2 linked regions of the Saccharomyces cerevisiae S288C genome follow. Changing the gene in region 2 together with the main gene of any one other region gives a genetic interaction. Each region holds a gene or a part of one and is shown on either strand. Other genes may lie near its edges.

Region 1 (3,758 bases), on a different chromosome or scaffold from region 2:
ATGCTGGTGATGATGGTGTTGTTGTTGTTGTTGTTGTTGTTGTTGTTGTTGTTGTTGTTGTTGTTGTTGTTGTTGTTGTGGATTGTTTTGGGGAACCATATCAGGGTTAGCGTTGGCAGCAGTGTTGACGTTAGTATCAACTTTAGCGTTACAATCCGATTCATTGCTGCAGTCATTGTTAGCATTACAATCCGTTTTGTCATTGCAGTCACTGTTAGCCTTGCAATCCACTCTGCCGTTAGAGTCACCATTAGCATCGCAATCAGCGTCGGCATCGGCATCTACTTTCTTTGGGTTAGCTGAAACTACCGTGCTTTTATTCTCATTTTTGCTTATTTTAATATCGATGGTACTTTCCTTGTCATTATCTGGCGTGCTTTCTTTATCATTATTGCTATCATCTTCTTTATTTTCTTCGGTTTCTTCTTCCACAATGTCTGGTTTGTTATCGCTTTTACCCTGTATAGATGCTGGAGTATTTGGAACTTGATTTTGAACTGTTTTCAAGTTTGATTCATGAGCTGGTTGTTGCTGATTGATGGCGGAACAGTCACTGTGATTCAAAAACCTTTGACGCTTTTCTTTTCTTTCCTTCAGTAACTCTTCGTGATGCCTGGCAGATTCAACATAGTCGTGTTCTATATCATCCGGCATACAATATAATCTAAAATTATCGTCAGAATCTCTAGGGGCTTTCCATGGAAACCTTTTAAGCACCATACAACAATATATGATCCCAATAGACCATATATCGACGCACTGAGGATCATAAGATTTGGTGGAGGTAATCACTTCCGGCGCTAAGTAAGGGTCACTACCCACGATTCCATGAGCCATCGTTACGCCATCTTCAAAAGGATATCTGAACACAACAGCACTACCAAAATCAATTAATTTCAAAATACCCTGGGAAGTCATGACACAATTATCCAATTTCAAATCTCTATGTGCCAATCCCATAGAATGTAAATATTTAACACCTTCAGTCAATTGCTTCAAGCAACAGTTGATCTCGCCACGAGACATCTTGCCTGTCATAACAACAGCAAAAAAATCAATCGGACAGTACTCCATAACTTCATAGTATTTATTTTGTTTAGAATCAGAGAAAACGTCAACAGTTTCGATAACATTTGGGTGATGTAAAGTCGAACCAATACAAAATTCTGCGGTGCACTTCTTGGCATATTCTTTCACACTCTCATTCGGTTTCCTTGGTCTGAATTCTTTGACGGCAAAAGTAGCACCATCAGTTGGTCTCACAAGAACTTTAACGGACCCACCGGCACCGGAACCCAATAACTTACCCAATTTCCCGTATTTTTGAGCCAGAATACAATCATCGTGATATATATTAATATTATTGGACAAAGATAGGATAGAATCGGTACTTGGCGGTATAGCAGACTGGGTATGAGCATAGTGGTCTGTAAAGCCATGAGGATGCTGGGCACGATAGTGATTATTTAAATTAACTGTAGAAGTTGATTTTGAAGGTGGGGGGGAATGGGTGCTATGTTTCTTGGAACGAAGTTGAGACATAGATAGTTTTTTATTTACAGAAGGTCTGAAAAACCTTTTCAATTCTGCCATGGAGTGGGTTTGTTTTGGAGAGGCGGGAGAAGTATAGTCATGGAGCCCATGAGAAATATTATGGTGGTGGTTTGTTTCATAGTTATTATTGTAGTTGTTTGTTGAGATACTGGTTGCATTAGAATGGCTATGGGTGTTGTTATTAAGGTTTGTTGTAGTATAATTTGTAGTGGTTGTGGTAGATTTCATGGAATCTGTAGATTTCTCGCTTCTTAGTGAGTCATTACTTTGTTTTCTACCAATGAAGTTTAAGAAAGATTTAGAACTTCTGATCAACTGTGGCGGGTTATTAGACGAATTTTCACGGTCATGATGATGGTCATTATGATGACCATGGAATGGGTTTCTCGACAATAGATTAGGCATCTTTATACGAGAAATAGTTCTACCGTATTATTATAATTATTAGTGTTATTATTTTTGTTTTCGATCAATTCTAGCGGAGCTACAATGTGGTAGTCAAACGCTGCTATTGTATTTAATTCCGGCTCGAGACCAGTCTGGAAAGTCGACGTATATCGTTACTACTATCCTTTTTTTATTATTCCTACTATTTCCTTATTGAAAAAGTGGAAAACTGTTAAATCTGGAAATTCTTCACGATTCTAGAAAAATAGGAGGTGAAGAAGATTTCTAAGCTTTTTGAAAAAAACGGGAAAAGGAAGAGGCCCAAAAAAGTGAAAAAAAACTGTGTGTGTGAAATGTAAACGAACTTTGCTCCCTCTAGGAAAAACTTCTTTAAGCGGTTGGGAACTGTCTTGGGCTTACTTGTTTGTAAACAGTTGTATGAATGATTCTATATGCTAATTCTCAGTTTGTCTCTCTTAAAGATTTGTCACTCTGAAATATATAGCCAAATAGAACTAGGCGAAGAAAAAGAAAAGGGGCGGCGACGACGTAGGGGTCAGGTAGAAGAGTTGGGCACTTATTGGCGATATAAAAGACAAAATACACTAATGCAAGAGTATGGTGAGCGAAAGGAAAATAAAGAAAGGCTACGTTATTGACGGATATATGAATCAAGACACAAGACTATTTTGTATAGTAAGCAGAACCGGCTTGTGTTTGTGATTCATGGATCAACGAGACGGTAGCGAATAAGCACCAACGGAAAAAAAGAAAACATACGCATACATGCACGTACAAGATAAAAAAAGCACAGGTGTGGTGGTAGTATTGGGATAACCAGGCACACGCTACTGCGAGATAGCAAAAGACCCTTCCCGTAAACCGCTCGGATAAACCGATTTTGTCCTTTAGCGTGACACGGATTATACGCGGGGATCCGGCGTCACAAGCCACGGCCCGTCCCGTCCGCGTGGTTTTTAATTCTGGCTCCGCGTAGTACATTTTGTAGCTTGCCTTTTTTCCGGCTTCTAGAAAACTGGAAAAACCATAAGAAAAAAATGGGAAGGGGAAAACAAAAACCATTCAGGTCTTGCGTGCCGAGAATTTTTTTTTTCTCTTTTTCGTTGTCAACTTTTGCAGTAGCAGCCGCTGGCGACCCGGACGGTAGCCATGGCAACGGTTAGCTAATGGTAGGTAAATAAAACGAGTAACGACGTTTTAGTATATCTTGGTAAACTACAATTAGATCTTAAAACGGTTCCTGAAAAAGTGCTTTCATCTACCATTGAATTTAATTCACTTCCCTTTATGGAATTTGCACTGGTTTTGTGCTGTGGGATGTGGGTGTTTTGAAATATTTTCAGCTTGCAAGTCGTGCATATTGCACTTGTTTCTTATTTTTGGCGAGTGTAAACGTAATAGGTAATCTTAGTATTGGGCCATCGTCGCCCAGATAGCCATTGATAAAGCAGCTAGGTTCGTCGTCCGGTTGTTGGTATACACCTGTGCGTGCGTAAGTGTAGAAAAAAATAGAAATGACTAACTGGCAGCAACAGCTTCCTTTAACAGATACACAGAAAAATGAACTCGATAAAAGTGTCCTCCGATATTTGAATTGGAATTACAAACAAACTGTACGACATGAGCATGCTCAAGATTACGAAAGTGTTCGACATGCAATTGTAACTCTATCAGGTTTTCTGTTGCAAGAATCAGTGGACCGGCAAGAATTCATCAGTAACAATGACACCAGTAACGAAAGTATGGTAGACATTGATGAATTACTGCTACCGAAGAAGTGGAACTCAATTGTTAGA
Region 2 (3,758 bases):
TTTTTTTCGCTCCATTAAACAGTTCCTTGTGGCTTTCATGCAAAGTGTACGTCCATAATGAAGTATAATAACAGAAAACTCTCGTTCAACCCTACCACAGTAAGTATCGCTGGAACGTTGCTTACGGTGTTCTTTCTCACAAGACTCGTGCTTTCGTTCTTCTCGATATCGCTATTCCAGCTGGTAACTTTCCAAGGAATCTTCAAGCCCTATGTTCCAGATTTTAAAAATACTCCCAGCGTAGAGTTCTACGACCTACGAAATTACCAAGGCAACAAAGATGGTTGGCAACAGGGTGACCGCATCTTGTTTTGCGTGCCACTGAGAGATGCTTCTGAGCATCTTCCCATGTTTTTTAACCATCTGAATACCATGACATATCCGCACAACCTGATTGATCTGTCGTTTTTGGTGAGTGACTCTTCGGATAACACCATGGGCGTGTTACTATCCAATCTACAGATGGCGCAATCGCAACAAGACAAGTCCAAAAGGTTTGGTAACATCGAAATCTATGAGAAGGACTTCGGCCAAATCATTGGTCAGTCCTTTTCTGATCGTCACGGGTTTGGCGCCCAGGGCCCCAGAAGAAAGCTGATGGCCAGGGCTCGTAATTGGCTTGGGTCCGTGGCCCTGAAACCATACCACTCCTGGGTTTACTGGAGAGACGTGGATGTCGAAACCATCCCCACTACCATCATGGAGGATCTAATGCATCACGACAAGGACGTCATTGTCCCCAACGTCTGGAGACCTTTACCAGACTGGCTGGGAAACATTCAACCCTACGATTTAAATTCATGGAAGGAATCAGAAGGGGGTCTTCAATTGGCGGATTCCCTAGACGAAGATGCTGTCATTGTGGAAGGGTACCCAGAGTACGCCACTTGGAGACCTCACCTGGCATACATGAGAGACCCAAACGGTAATCCAGAAGACGAAATGGAATTGGACGGTATTGGAGGGGTCTCGATTCTCGCGAAAGCTAAAGTATTCAGAACAGGCTCACACTTTCCTGCATTCTCCTTTGAAAAGCACGCAGAGACAGAAGCATTCGGTAGGCTCTCCCGCAGGATGAATTACAATGTCATCGGCTTGCCCCATTATGTCATCTGGCACATCTACGAACCTTCCAGCGACGACTTAAAGCACATGGCTTGGATGGCTGAAGAGGAGAAGCGGAAACTAGAAGAAGAGAGAATTCGCGAATTTTACAACAAGATCTGGGAGATTGGATTTGAAGATGTCAGAGACCAATGGAACGAAGAAAGAGATTCAATCTTAAAAAACATTGACTCCACTTTGAACAATAAAGTCACTGTAGACTGGTCTGAAGAGGGAGATGGCTCGGAGCTGGTGGACTCAAAGGGTGACTTTGTCTCACCAAACAACCAACAACAACAACAACAGCAACAACAACAACAACAGCAGCAGCAGCAACAGCAACAGCAACAACAGCTCGACGGCAACCCGCAGGGGAAACCTCTTGATGACAACGACAAGAACAAGAAAAAACATCCTAAAGAAGTTCCATTAGACTTCGACCCTGATAGAAACTAGGCTCGGTTTTTTAGTGACCTACATATGAAGTACGAATTCATATAGTTGTACATATATACCGATAATAATATCAAACCTCTATTCTTTGGTCTTTAACTTTTCTTTGAGTGAATTACAATACCATTGTTATATCAATCACTATACACGGCTCGGTGGCGAAATTGAAATTTTTTTATTTTCTTCTCTTTCATTATGGCTAGGCAAGAAATAGCGACAGCAAAACTTAAGAAAAAATGATAGAACAAGGTCCCATCCAGTATTGACTAGTAGCTAAAGCTAGAAGGTACACTTAGGTTTTTCTCCCTGTTTTTAAGTTTGAACCATTGATAAGGCCGTTCGCAGACAAGCTTGCTACCATCCAATTTTCCTTCCTCTAAAGACTTAATAAAGGCATCTAACTCCACCTTTAAATCACAGATCACACAAAGACAACATACAATAGAAAAATGGTTAGCTTAACCTTTAAAAATTTCAAGAAGGAAAAAGTTCCTTTAGATCTGGAACCTTCAAACACAATTTTAGAGACCAAGACCAAGCTTGCTCAATCCATTTCTTGTGAAGAATCTCAAATAAAACTGATCTACTCGGGTAAAGTGCTACAAGATTCCAAAACCGTATCGGAATGCGGGCTAAAAGATGGGGACCAAGTTGTCTTCATGGTTTCTCAAAAAAAGTCCACGAAGACCAAAGTAACAGAACCTCCAATTGCTCCTGAGAGCGCCACTACCCCCGGAAGAGAAAATTCTACAGAAGCATCCCCCAGTACGGATGCTTCTGCAGCTCCTGCAGCCACTGCTCCCGAAGGCTCACAACCGCAAGAAGAACAAACCGCCACTACAGAACGTACTGAATCTGCCTCTACACCGGGATTCGTGGTGGGAACCGAGAGGAACGAGACCATCGAGAGAATCATGGAAATGGGCTACCAAAGAGAGGAAGTCGAACGAGCCTTGAGAGCAGCCTTTAATAATCCAGATAGAGCGGTGGAATATCTACTGATGGGTATTCCAGAAAATCTGCGTCAACCGGAACCACAGCAACAAACAGCCGCCGCAGCGGAACAACCATCGACAGCCGCCACCACTGCGGAACAACCGGCTGAAGACGACTTATTTGCACAAGCTGCCCAAGGCGGTAATGCTTCATCCGGTGCGCTTGGCACAACTGGAGGAGCTACAGATGCTGCGCAAGGTGGACCTCCAGGTTCCATTGGCCTCACTGTAGAAGATTTACTATCGTTGAGACAGGTCGTTTCAGGTAACCCAGAAGCTTTAGCCCCATTGTTGGAAAACATAAGTGCTAGATATCCTCAATTACGTGAACATATCATGGCAAACCCAGAAGTGTTTGTGTCCATGTTGCTAGAAGCCGTGGGTGACAATATGCAAGATGTTATGGAAGGTGCGGATGATATGGTGGAAGGAGAGGATATAGAAGTTACAGGAGAGGCTGCTGCTGCAGGACTGGGACAAGGTGAAGGTGAAGGTTCTTTCCAAGTTGACTATACCCCCGAAGACGATCAAGCTATTTCGCGCCTCTGTGAATTGGGCTTTGAAAGAGATCTTGTTATCCAGGTGTATTTTGCGTGCGATAAAAACGAAGAAGCTGCAGCAAATATTCTATTCAGCGATCATGCCGACTGAGATTGTAGTAATGTTATGGCTTGAAGTATCTTCACTTATTCTCGACAATGTTGCATGATTTTTGAGCCAAGGGAAAAAAAAAGCTTACGTAGAAATCAATAACGTATGTGTATTTATATATGCTAGAAGGGAAAGAAAAGAAAACAGAGAGATGGTAATATTAATCTCAATAATAATAATAATAATAATAATAACAATAATAATAATAATAACAACAACAAATAATGATTATACTGCTTTTAGCGCATATATACAGTTTTGTTAAAGAGTTTCAAAATTCTTGTATACCTGGTACTTTTGCCCATCGGGGACAGGTGCATTACCAGGTCGGGAAGCTAACCCAGTAGCTATTCCAACGCCGGCCGCTGCGTCCAATTCCAATGGATTATCGCTCAAGAACAGTACCTCGCTAGCCTTCGCACCGATATCCCGCAAGATGTTGGCGTAAGACTGTGTTTCGGTTTTCTTTCCAGAAGTGTTGATGTCGAAATAACCATCTATATAAGAATTCAAATCCAACGAATCATGCGCAGGCGCGTTGGGATCCTGAACATA

Evidence for each region. Genes that interact genetically often act in the same process or in processes that back each other up.
Region 1: mutations in RAD23 (region 2) and HRK1 together harm fitness more than expected from each alone (negative genetic interaction), as found in Saccharomyces cerevisiae (3 studies listed by BioGRID).

Annotation. Positions count from the first base shown.
Region 1 is NC_001147.6:822,909-826,666, forward strand, and holds the start of HRK1 (putative serine/threonine protein kinase HRK1), read right to left. Parts: upstream 1,960-3,758; coding exon 1-1,959. Other genes in the region: YOR268C (uncharacterized protein), read right to left, coding at 2,626-3,024; PAC1 (Pac1p), read left to right, coding at 3,477-3,758. UniProt on the Saccharomyces cerevisiae protein: Involved in regulating the activity of the plasma membrane proton pump PMA1.
Region 2 is NC_001137.3:80,852-84,609, reverse strand, and holds RAD23 (Rad23p), read left to right. Parts: upstream 1-2,006; coding exon 2,007-3,203; downstream 3,204-3,758. Other genes in the region: ANP1 (Anp1p), read left to right, coding at 58-1,560; putative acireductone synthase UTR4, read right to left, coding at 3,465-3,758. UniProt on the Saccharomyces cerevisiae protein: Plays a central role both in proteasomal degradation of misfolded proteins and DNA repair.